2 linked regions of the Astyanax mexicanus genome follow. The protein of the gene in region 1 purifies or fractionates together with the protein of each later gene. This does not show direct contact. Links are inferred from orthologs where the notes say so. Each region holds a gene or a part of one and is shown on either strand. Other genes may lie near its edges.

The links.
Region 2: the proteins of hdac5 (region 1) and prkd1 purify together in Homo sapiens (affinity purification with western blotting; 4 studies listed by BioGRID, with this or other methods). This does not show direct contact. The link is inferred for Astyanax mexicanus from reciprocal best matches to the Homo sapiens genes HDAC5 and PRKD1.

What each region holds. Positions count from the first base shown.
Region 1 is NC_064410.1:7,239,927-7,246,619, reverse strand, and holds the start of hdac5 (histone deacetylase 5), read left to right. Parts: upstream 1-2,435; 5' UTR 2,436-4,212; coding exon 4,213-4,369; intron 4,370-6,693. UniProt on the Homo sapiens protein: Responsible for the deacetylation of lysine residues on the N-terminal part of the core histones (H2A, H2B, H3 and H4).
Region 2 is NC_064421.1:45,647,644-45,654,336, reverse strand, and holds the start of prkd1 (serine/threonine-protein kinase D1), read right to left. Parts: upstream 4,448-6,693; 5' UTR 4,090-4,447; coding exon 3,925-4,089; intron 1-3,924.

The sequences.
Region 1 (6,693 bases):
CTATCTTTGCAACAACACTGGGCAGTATGTATTTTCTAGACTTTATCCGTAACAATCCATAACCATGTTGAGCATTATTTAACAGTGCTGATTCTCCTCGATTATTACGTCTCTCGGGCAGTTCAAAAGCGCAAATTCTGTTTCCACACTGTAGGGGGAGCCCATAATTCTCCATAAAATTGCATTAAAGGGCCAGTAACAGAATCATTCTGTTTGATTCTGAGGGAAATAGAGAGGTTTTGAGCCTAAAACCACACAGATATTCCAAGTGAATCTTAATAAAAAAAATGTAGAATATGGGCCGTTTAAATGAAAGTAAATTGAGTCAGTGGTGGCTCAAACATCGCATTTAATAAAATAGCTATTTGTCCACTGCCAAACACTGTAATTAAACTTTGTGTGCACGCTTCCATGGAGATCCACGTATAAACACAACAGCGAGTGGAAATGGAGGAGCTACTGAACGCTATGTCATGTGACCTAGAAATCCTAAAAAAAAATTACTGGTCCTCCTCTTTTTTCACTTGCAGTTCGGATGCAAGAGTTTAATCACTGAGGAGAAGTGTGAAATATTTTTCACAGACTTCCCTCTAAAATAAAAACTAATCCCGGTCATTATTTAATTTGATGTGGGAACTTGTTATGTTGTGTTAAGGCAGAGTAAGACTGGGCAACAGGGTTACATCATTTACAGTTGTGCAGAATTTAGCAGGTGAGGTAAAACATGCTTTCAGACAGTGACTGAGGGGATGGCAGAAATAGATGTTGACTAATCAGGTTTGACTAATCAAGCGGTTCTGACCTGGAGAATGACAAGCTGCCTCTATAGCCCTGTGTGTGTGTGTGTGTGTGTGTGTGTGTGTGTGTGTGTGTGTGTGTGTGTGTGTGTGTGTGTGTGTGTGTATGTGTGTGTGTGTGTGTATGTGTGTGTGTTTACCTTCCTGTCCACTGCCATTGTCTGCCTTAGTGGCACTGTCTGAGCTCCTCTTGATCACTCTGCCTCCTGTTGGCTTTAGGAAGCAATAGATTTAAACTGGCTTCATTTTATCTGCATGATAAAGAGACCTTTACCTCATTCTCTCTCTCTCTATCTCTCTCTCTGCCTCCCTCTCGCGCATCTCTCTCTTTCTCTGTCTTTCTTCTCTTCTGTGCTATCTCTCTCTCTGCCTTGTTTTCTCTCTCTTTCCCACACACATACAATTGCACATGCCTACTCTTTCTTTCACTCTCTCACTTTTCTTCTCTTTCTTTTTTCAAGTCTAACTCAGTTACACACTCCTTTCTTTCTTTCTTCTGTGCTATTTTCTCTCTCTCTCTCTGACTCTCTCTCTCTCTCTCTCTCTCTTGCAATAGATTTAGTCTGCGTTCTCCGCTCATTCTCTTCCTCTGATCTTTCTCTTTCTTGTACATCTTTCGTTCTTTCATTCTTTCTTTCTTTCTTTCTTTCTTTCATTCTTGTTCTATTCTCTCTCTCTCTCTCTCTCTTGCAATAGATGTAGTCTGCGTTCACCTCTCATTCTCTGTCTCTAATCTTTCTCTTTCTTGCGCATATCTATCTTTCTTTCTTTCTTTCTTACTTTTTTCTCTCTGTTCTGTGCTATTCTCTCTCTCTCTCAGGGAGTCTTTCTTGCACTCTGTTACAGACACATCCCTCTCTCTGATTCTCTCCTTTCTCTCTCGCTCTCTCTATCTCTCTCTGTGTCTTGCAATAGATTTAGTCTACATTCACCTCTCTTTCTCTCTCTGATCTTCCTCGCACATATATCTTTTTTTTTTTTGCACAAAATGCACAAAAAAGGAAGAATCTAATAATCTAATATGAAGTCCAGTTAAATCCATATAAATATAATATTTGTTTTTTTAAATGTCTATTGTATTGGAAGCCTGTGTAACATTTTTATTTTATTTTTGATATTGGCCTTTTTTATGTTAAATCATTCCTACACAGCATTTAACTCTAAATCACATAAAATTACTCTTATTACTCTTAAATTACTCTTATTACTTTGTCTTGTTGGCTGGTAGAGTGCTGCCACGCTCTAATGCCAGATTTGAAGTTGTTGTTTTTTTTCAGTGAAGTGGGCGGGGCTAAGCTACTTTTTCATTGGCTTGTAAATCAATTAGTATTATGTGCAACACAACATAAAAAAAGGAAATACATGATGTCCATTGTAATGCACAAAGGGTTTGGATCTGCATGATAGACAGAGCTTTACCTCTTATTCTCTCTTTCTCTCTCTCATTCTCTTGTGCATCTCTTGTGTTCTCTTCTGTTCTACCTTTCCCTCGTTTCTATCTCCTCTATCTGGACCTCTCTCTCTCTTTCTCTCCCTTTATCTCACATGCTTACTCTTTTTTGTACTGTCTCACTTTTCCTCTCTTTCTTTTTTCATGTCTAGATCTCTAGATCTCTAATACACCTCTCACTCTCTCTCTATTACTTCTATTTCTCTCTCACTCATGCACTCATTTTCTTTTCTTTTTCTTTTCTTGTTCTGTCTTTCTCTCTTTCTCTTTTTTCTCTCTCTCTTATTGTATCCTCTCTCTCTTTCAAATATCGAGCTCCCCCTGCTTTCCCTTACACACAAACACATGCAAACACAAACACACACCTCTTTCTCACTCTCTCTCTCTTTCTCTCTCTGTCTTCTCTTCCACTCTACCCCCCCCCTCTCTTTCTTCTCTTTCACCCTCCCTCCTCTCTCTCTCTCTCCCTCTCTCTCCCCAGGCTCTCAGCTCCTGCCTCTATTTTTATCCTCGCCCCGCCCCTCCCCTGTCGCTCGGCAGCTATTTCCAGCTCTGTGAAGCAGCCCAGTCTGTTTGTAAACTCCACGGCTCCACTCTGCTGCTCTCTCTTTCTCTCTCTCTCTTTCTCTCTCTCCCTCGCTCTCTATTGCTCTCTCGCTCGCTTGATCACTCCTGTGCCCCCCACATGCAGCAGAGGGAGGGTGTGGGCATCAGTTGCAACCAAACAAATCCAAACTAGCGGAGGACAGAGAGGCTGTTTGGGTTTTTTTCGTGCGACTCGACCGCGACAGAACGACCGCGACAGATCGACCGCGGTGGCTCAACGTGCTTTTATTTTTTGGGAACTACTGTAGCTTCTCAGTCTCTCTCTCATTCTCTCTATTCTTCACCTCCATTCTTCTCAATCTCTCATTTTTCTCTTTCTCTTTCTCCCAACCTTACTCACACGTCTCTGTCCCCTTCATCTCTCTCTCTACTTCTTGTCTGCACTCTTTCTCTCTCTGTTTCTCTTTCTATTGCCCTCTTAACCTCTTACTCTTTCTCTCTTTCTCTCTCTCTCTCTTTCCACACCCCGTCCGTTTCTCTCCCTCTCTCTGTTTCTACCTCTCTTGCTCTGTCTCTCTTTCTCTATTTATCCAGGTTATATATCTTGCTTTCTCTCACTCATTCACTCTCTCTGTTTTTTCTCTTTCTCTTTCAATCCTTCTTTCTCTCTCCCTCTCTCCATTTCTTGTCTGCTGCTAGTTCTATCTCACTCTCTCTCCTTTACTCTGTCTGTTTCTCTTTCCCTTTTCCCCTACCTCTTACTCTCTCTCTCTCTCTCTAATTCTCGCTCTGCACCCCCTCCGTCTCTCTCTCTCTCACCCTCTCTCTCTCTCTCTCTCTCTCTCTGTGATCTCATTTGCTGCTCTCACCGCAAGGAAAAGAAGGCATCCAGTCAAACTCCGGACTTACCGCAGACACAGCTCAGGAACCGTGCCGGATACGAGCGCGCAGTAGTGAACGGAATAATGACAGACGCTCTCGTTTGAGCCTCAGCATGAATTAACGTCTCTTTCCCGCTTCATCCCAGAGCTGAACTGGGAGCTAATGGGAATCTTCTAAGCGGAGACTGAAGGGAAGGGACTTGGCATTGACTCTGTGAGAGGGTAATCCGTGGAATCATGGGACTAACGCACAAAGTGGACCTTTCTCCACGCTGTCAGTGCGCTCCTGACCACAGCTAAGAAGCAGTGGCACAGACTGGGAATTCTGTTGGGAATACCGCTGTGATTTATTTCTTTTTTTCTCCCACATTCTGATGCTGATCGGAACGCCGGACATAGCAAGGTGGCGTTCGGCGGTTGAGCCGCGCGGCGTGTGAGCTGCGGGTGGCCGTGTTGGTGTACCGGAGTACCCGTGATTGTGTGTGAGGGTGTGTGTGTGTGTGTATATGTGTGTGTTTTGAATCTGGGACACACTGGCATGCTCTTGCGACCGACAGTTCCGGGGCTGTGCGCGATGTTGCAGACCATCTATGAGACAGAATCCTGCTTCTCCACAGACACACACAGCACAGCCAGCCGGGAGCAGCCCACCGACCTGCTGCCCCACAACCACTCCAACAACATGAGCAGCACTGGTGAGTGTGTGTGAGTGTGTGTGTGTGTGTCAATCCGCCTGTCTGACAGATTTGTAGAAGTGAGGACATTTTTGGCTTTCTTCACTAATACATCAAAACTAGTAAAACAGCACAACCGTAGCTTTAAAGTTTCTAAGGTTAAATTTTAGACTAGAGCTTAGGGTCGGGGGTAGACTTAGTACTAGGATGTTAGTTTTAGGATTAGGGATACATGCAAAATTATATTTTGAGTTAGGATTTGTTATAGGGCTGGGGTATATTTTAGAATAAGATTTTAATTGGTTATAGAATAAGTTCATGGTTAGTTTTTGGGGTTGGGGTTAGGTTTAGAGATAGATGTAGGCTTGGGGTTAGGTTTAGGGTCAGATGTTGGGTTAAATTTGGGTATAGGTTTGGGGTTAGGTATAGGTTTGGAGGTTTGGTTTAGGATTAAAAGACGGTTGGGTATAGTGTTTTTGGTTAAGAGATAGATGTAGGCTTAGGTATATGGTTTAGGGGTTTGTTTTAGGATCAGATGACTGTTGGATATAGCGTTGGGGTTTGGTTTAGAGACGGATGTAGGGTTGGGTAAAGTGTTGGGGTTAGGTTTAGAGATGGATGTAGAGCCCAATATAGATTTAAGGGGTTTGGTTTAAGATTAGATGACTGTTGGGTATAGCATTCGGGTTCAGTTTAGAGATAGAGGTAGGGTTGAGTATAGGTTTGGGGGTTTGGTTTAGAGATGGATGTAGGGTTGAGTATAGCGTTGGGGTTCAGTTTAGAGAATTAAGTTTATGGATAGACTTGAGGTTGGGGTTTAGTTTTAGGGATAGATGTAGGGTTGGGGTTTAGTGATGGATGTAAGGTTGGGTGTAAGTTAAGGTTTAATTATATATGTAGTTATAAATTTGGGTTTAAGGTTGAGATTAGATGTAAGGTTTATGGTTGGATAAAGGGTTTGGGTTTGGATTTAGGGAGTTAGAGTTAGATTTGGATTTAGGGTTAGATGTTGGGTTGGGTATAGAGTTAGGGTCAAATGATGGGGGTTTAGTTTTGCATTACTTGGCTGCAGTAAAACATAACATAACAATGTGTGTGTTCTTTGTAATCAGTGTAACATAACCAGCAACAGTGTGTGTGTGTGTGTATTTTAGACAAGGGAACAGAGAAGAAAAATAATGAGAGAGAGAGAGGGTCAAAAGAAGTTTAATAAGTGATGTTTTGAGAATTTATATCCGCTAGTGTTTGAAGTTGATGAATGTTGTGTGTTGATGGTGTGGTGGTTGTTGTTGTGCGGTGGCTGCGTGCTGGTTCTGTTGTGTCTAGTCGGACTTTGTTTGGACCAAACTAATATGGAGCATCTGTACAGACCCAGCTGACCTCCCCGACCTCTCCACTGGGCCTCAATACACATTAGTACTACAGTGCAGACAGCCTTTCAGCCTGTGCTCTTCAGTGGAGCTGCAGATCACTGGCAATTGACTGACTGGTTCTTTTAGATGGGGATGTAGACCATCAGAAATCAGCATCTGCTGTTTATGTAGCTGAATATTTGAACTCTTTCTGAGGAATATCCATAAATTGACCAGTTCTCCCTTTTGAGAACTGAGAATAAATTATTTTCTTTACTATCAAGTTTTGCTATTTTAGGTGCCTTTATGAATTAAGAAATATAAGTACATGTATATATTGGTATTATTTATTTATTTATTTTTCCTCTATGCTTTTCTCTCTCTTTCTCTCTTTCTCTCTCTCCTTTATTTTTTATTTTTTTGTTCTTTTTTGGTGGTGAAATTGGAAGAGTTGGGTGGTGGGATGTAGGAGGGGTTTAACAAGTAAAAAATAACAAAGTTTCAGAGTTTCAGTCCTCCGAAGAGGGGGGGTGGTGGCGGGCTTTAAAAAAAAAAAAATATATATATATATATAGTACAAGGAAAGCACATTTTAGTTTTTTTTTTGTGTGAAATCGATCTGATTTCTATTTCTAAAAAGATAGAAGGGCTAATTTTAATGATAAATGGATATGTAGTCATTAGTGTGGAGTCGGTCCCCTTTTTAATTCCAACACCAGGTGTGAATCTTTGTAATTATTGATTTTCTGCGCTGCGTTCTTCATCACTCGGACTCACACTTCGCTCTTTACAAGTTCCTGTGGATCCTAAAGTCTTCTACTGTTCAATAATAGTCACTCGCAGCATATTGTGGAATATCTAGGGTGGAAGAAAAATAAATCCAGCTGACTTTTTGACTTGTTGCAGTTCTGCCATCCTATTACAGGACCACGCTTGAGTTCAGTCAGCTCTTTAAAACCATCCCTTCTGACTCTGAGTGGTCCAATAGGCTAA
Region 2 (6,693 bases), on another chromosome or scaffold:
GCCTAACCAGGCATGATTACTGCCACACCTGTTCTCAATCAACAAATCACTTAAATAGTACCTGCTTGACAGGTGAAGTAGAAGTGAAGTTGATGAAAATATACTCAAATGCTAGATATCATGCTAATATCCAAAGAAATACAGAAATAAAAACAAAAAAACAAAAAACAAAAAATGAGATCTCTTAGTCTGGAAAATGTTACAAAGCCATTTCTAAGCCATCATACACAAATGGAAAAAACGTGAAAAGTTGTGAACCCTCCTAGGAGTGATTGGCAAACCAAAATTATCCCAAAAGCACAGTGACGATCCATCCAAAAGGTCACAAAAGACCCCACATCAACATCCAAAGAACTGCAGGCTTTACTAGCCTCTGCTAATGTCAGAGATCATGACTTCACCATAAGAAAAAGACTGGGCAAAAATGGCCTGCATGGCAGACTGCTAATATATAAACCACTGCTGAGCAAAAAGAACATTTAGGCTCAAGGCAATTTTGCCAGAAAACAATTTGTTGATCGGCAAAACGTTTGGGAAATTACTCTGTGTCCCATTACATCTGGCTTAAAAGTAACACTGCATTTCAGAAAAAGAAACACCTACAGTAAAACATGGTGGTGGTAGTATGATGGTCTGGGACTGTTTTGCTGCTTCAGGACCTGGAAGACTTGCTGTGATAAACAGAACCATGTATTCCACTGTCTACCAAAAAGTTCTGAGGGAGAATATCCGGCCATATGTTTGTGACCTCAAGCTGAAAGAGCTTGGGTTCTCCAGCAGGACAATGACCCAGAACACACCACATCTGAATGGCTAAAGTGGCCTAGTCGAAGTCCTTCCCTAAATCTGATTTATATCCTTTGGTATGACCTTAAAAAGGCGGTTTATGCTTAAAACTTCCCCAATGTGGCCCCAGAGATGAGTATGCCAAAATTCTTCTACAGTTATACTTTTTAGTGGCAAAAACTTTTACACAGGGATTTTTTTCCCCTTAATTATAAAAACTTAGTTTAAAAACTGCATTTTGTGTTTACTTGTGTTGTCGTTGATTGATATTTAAATTTGCATTACCACAATATGTGTCTTAAATTTGGTTCATAGTAGCATCTTTTTATAAAGCAGGATATTTTGTTTTTATGTTTTTGGCATTATATTTAACATACTGTATATTGTGGCATTATAATGAGCTGATGCCGTCTTATTGGCACAAGCAGCTGATCCTGACCCTGAAGGCCTTTGCTGGAAAGTTATTATCAGTCCAGTTTTAGTATTTTCTCACAAATGAACAAAGCAAAAATTTTGCATATTCACACAGATATTAGGCATGAAGTCAATAGACTTTGCAGAGATAGGATGTGCACCAAAACATTAATGTCTATCACATCCACAGGGTCTTAATTTGGCCTTGCCTACAACAAAATAAAACAGTGCTTACATTTCCAACGACACAAAACATGGAACACTGCCAGCAGGAGATAAACAACAATGCTGGGAAATCTCAAGCCAACTGTAGCCAACTGTCCTTTAACGTTGTTTTTATTTCCACTAAAGGTTGGTCGAAAACTTGAAAAAACTTTTAAGTTGCATTTCTTTCAATTAATTGTGAATTAATTGTGTGATATGTGTTATATTATGGTAACACATCATAATGTAGTTCTGATGTTAAAATTAAGCTGCATCCAATTACACACACTAATAACATTGGGTGTATAGTACTTACTAGTCATAATAGAGTGGGTTTTTTACCAATGAAATGCTGTGTGTCATGATCAGAACATCTATAGAACCTGTTGGATCAAGTCAATGGCAACCTAAATCATATGATAAAAGAATTGCCTCCGTTTTTTTTCTCGTGCACATGTTAACAACTTACATAAACTTGGAGGATGGAAATCCCTCTACTAAACTAGAACACAGAGATTAGATAGAACTTGAATGTGATTACTTGTATACACTTTATTCATCTACGTCACCATCGTCTACCAAAACGAGGATGTGGGGTATGGAAGTAGCATTGGAAAACTGGGTACTAGCAATGCTAACTCACTGCTGCGTTCCCAAATAACGTACACTTCTTCAAAAATAAATAAATCTTATAAAGTTCAAATCTTCCATAATTCCTCAAAACATCCTGTACTTTACCCTGAATGGATTCACAAAATCAGTAGAGATTGCCATTTTAATTTAAGTATGTACGATACTATGCTAGCTATCTAGCTAAGCTAGCCATTTTGGTATTACCCAGCTAGCCAATCTAGCCAGATGAATGTTAGCAGAGAGACAACAGGCTAGCTAAACCTGGGTCTCTAGCTTTGATTGATGAACCCTGAACTGGTCATTTGGCAATGGTTAATTTCAAGTGTGTGAGGTTAGTTGTCCACACAGGCGCTGCCATTTAAACTGAAGGATATTCTGCCTGTTCCCTCACTGCCTTGGAGTTTCCAGTTTAGAAGAGTACCCCGTCTCATTTTTCATTTCAACATGAGCGTAGAGTAAATAAGGTGCATGGTATGTCTTTGAAAGATGAAAAAAGATAATTGGTAGAGAACAACTCAATACTTTGAACAACTTTAACACAAGTTAAAAAGGGAGGCATAATTTTAATTGCTGGCTAATCTCGGCATCCATAACCACAAAAAAATGTCTATCAGCTCCAGACGGTCTTACCTAGTTACTTTTTGATGCAAAACCTGCAACACTGATAGGACAAATTTAAAGAGTAAAAAAGAGAATTCTGAAGCCAACAGAGCTGAGCACAGTGTCCTTCAGAGTACTTTCTTTTCTGTACAGTCTGTACAGAGTGTATTCAGGCTTTATGCTTGGGTGAGTGCACTTGAGAGACATAGGGAGACATACAGCTTTTACCTTTTTACCAGCAGAATGGAAAGAAATGATGGAGGCCTAGCTTCTTTTTAACTTTTCTACTGTTATTTGACTTTTCCGCCCACCTGACCTTCTGCATGCTTGAAATGTAAATAGATTTGTACTACTAGTTAACTAACTAGAAGAGTCTTGTGACCTGGGGTTTCATGGAATTTTATGGAAGAGGGAAACACTGGGTTACTGAGTCACAGGAGAGGACAGTGTAGTGTGTGTGTGTGTGTGTGTGTGTGTGTGTGTTTGCCAGTAACACTGCAGGCCAGCCTCTCCTGAAACAGCACTTCAGTGGTCGCACGTCAGAACGTGTCGTCAGCAGTCAGCAGTGACTTTACAGGCTGAAGTGTTGATGCCAGTTTTGCATTCAGATACAGTAAGACCACTTGTTAGAAGCTCTAAACTCGCCAGCTTCCTTCCAGCATCAACTTAAACTCTCTGTTTATATGTTTAAAATGTTTGTTGGGTCTTTCGGTAAGTAGAAAACACAGGACACAGCCTCAGTTCAGTGAAGTTAGTTACCTAGCTAACAAGCTAACGCTAGTTAACTAGCTAACTAGTTAGCCTGGCGTTACCTTGGTTACCACATATTGGTCAAAATAAGTAGTTAGCTAGTTAGCTAACTAGTAGCCTAGCCTTCACTGTAAGTTATACAGTGATACAGTTCACGTATAACTTAGATAACCTAGTTAGCTAACTAACCTAGCCAGTTTTATCGTTTAAAATGTTTCAAACTCACAAGTAAACCCATATACCGGCTTTTTTTACTTTCTGACCTAAAGAACAGCGCTGTGTCTAACTAAACCCTCTTCAGCACCTCAGCGGAGACCCCGCTTTCCCATGGCGGTTCTAACGTTGCTAACGTTAGTTAACGACGAGTAAAACGCAATAGAAAAGTTCGTTTAACATTTTCTATCCGCACTTATTTACTTATCATTCGCTCCACACTTTATCTAAGCTAGCTCACTAGCTAAGCTACTTCCCAAGCGCACCGAGGAACCCAGCGCACATGCGGTGTGAGGAGAGTAACGTTACCCGGTGAGTTTTTACCTTCTGGTCCACGATGGAGCACGCCATTTCTCGGACCTGCGCTAGACTGAAGTCCCCCGAGTCCAGCAGCACCGGCTCCCGGCTCAGCCCGATCTGGATGTGGAAGGAAACGCCCTGGGAGCCCGGGACGGGGCTGGGCGCCCGGATCACCGGAGGGACACTCATGAGAATCCCCGAGCGGTCACGGCTGGACAGCGGCTGGTCAGTCTGCTCTCAGTCTCGGTCAAACGCGCTCCGCTTCTCGGAGGAAAATAATAAATACAAACTTCGACTCGCCCCCCCTCCAAAAAAACAGAAACACACAGCACAGTGTCTGTCCTAGAGGTAAAACGACGCGGGGAAATATATTATAGCTAATAAACCTGACCGCATTTAGAAGCTGTGAAACGCAAAGCGCTTTTTTGGTCATTGAGAAGCGATGCTGATGGAGCCATAGACGTCAGATATGTTTAATGTTGGGCTCTGATAGACACCGCCTCCTGCCTGTTCCGGTTATCAGAGCGAGGTGCCTAACGCTGAGATTTATCTGCCTGGGCTTTAGAACTGTTACTCAGATGTCTGTCCATTAAAGTATTAACAGTATTAAAGTATTTAGAGCTTCTTTTCATTTCTATCTATTTTACCGGAATGATTTGCTTGCTTTAAACGCTACTGATTTAAAGCCTGTTTATTATTTTAACAGTTATACATGCAGACTCAAAAGAACGCACACAGTAAAGTTATTCAGACTGTGAAATAAGTAGTAAGTAAGTAAGTAAAATAAAAAGTCAGCTTAAGTTTGATTAATTAATAAACTGAACTGTTAGTAGACTTATAAAGTGGGAAAATATTTTTAGTAGGAATTCAATTGTTTGACTGATGCCCTAACAGGTGTCATTGTAAAGAGATAATAAGTTATTCACTTTGGAGGTGTTAATGTTATGGCTGTTCAGTGTTTAATATACCACATACACAGTCCCATATTAACTGTGGGTACATTAACTACCAAACACAGTCCCATATTATATAACACACGTTCACTGCAATGACGGGACAGTGTTTTTAGTAAAATGGGACTGTGCTTTTTAATGTAGTTAATATTGGACTATGTATTTGAAATACATCATGACAGTGACAGTGTGTTTGATAATATGCGATGGTCTTTGGCAACATAGCCACAGTGTATTTTAAATATATAACAAACACACTGTCCCAAATTACCAAAATGCACTGCCATTTAACCATACAAAACGTCCCATATTAACAAACACAGTACCATCATGATGGGACAGTGTATTTGGTAACATAGGACTGTATTTGGTAGCCACAGTTTTTATTTATTTTGTATTTTATATATAACAAACACACTGTCCCATATTATCAAACACACTGCTCCATATTACTGCACAATACACTGTCCCATATTACCAGAAATAAACTGTCCTATGCTACCAAACACTGTCCCATATTACTACACAATACAGTGTCTATATTACCAAAATGCACCGTCCTATACTACCAAACTCATTGTCCCATATTATCAAACACAGTCCCATATTACCAAAACATACAGTCCCATATTACCAAAACACACAGTCCCATATTACCAAACACACTTTCCTGTATTACTAAACAATACATTGTCTCATAGTAGCAAATATACTTATATATTATCATATAACACACAGTCCCACTCTAACATTTTAATTCTAGTTATGCATTGCATGACAGCATCCACTTGGCAAGTTGTATATTTGACCTGATTTCTGGACAAGGTTGCTGTAAATCCTGTATATGTTTATTAATGTAGACATGTATGGCTTTCAGAGAAGCCTATAATAAGTTGTTACAGATTGTGAGGTAGTAATAAAAGACACTGTATACTTATTTTTTTACAGTTTCACTTCTAGTTTGATTATTCTGTAAACTGGAAAAAGGAAATACTGAAAGTAGGCCTTATAAGGAATAACAATTAAACCAGACTAAACAAAGTGCATCAGTGGGCCTTGGGCACCCATATCCTGTCACTGGTTCACAGGTTGCCCTTCCTTTTTTTGGTAGGTAGTGACATCTGCATAGCAGGAACATCCCACATGACCTGCAAGTTCTCTATCAAAGTGTTTCTATCCATCACAGTTTAAGCCTGATCAGACTTGTTTAGATTCTAAAATGTGCCATTTTCTTTCTTCTACCACATCAACAACTGACTGTTCTATTGCTGCCTAATTTTAGCACCTTAGCATCCACCTAGCAACAACTTAACAAACACTTCAGATATCAGAGCATCCATTAAGAAACACCACAGAAACCAATTTGGATACCTTAACAACCATCTCTCATGATACTGTAGTAACCAGTTAGTAACAGCATAGCAACCACTAAGCAATACAACCAGTTACCACCCCTGTAACTACGCAACCATCCTGCACAAGTGCAACGTATCAGTAAAAGTTTTACCTCATAGAATTTGAGTTTTTTTTTATCTCATCTTTATTTCATAATGTATCATATTCTGTTATCATTCTGTTATCTCGCTACCTGTCTGTCTGTCTGTTCCTTTGTCTGTCTGTCTTTGTAGAGATACCAATTTATACTACTTTTGGAAATTCCCAAATACCATAATTCTTCTCAGCAGCATATGGTAAGGCTTAGGGTTTATAAGGTCATTTTTTTTAGCCATTTTATCACTTTTTCTGTATGATTTGTACTAAGACATTTGCAGGTATTGAGGACTATGTTTAATTGGATGTGTATTCATTTACATTTTTATTACTTTACCTATTTATGTGT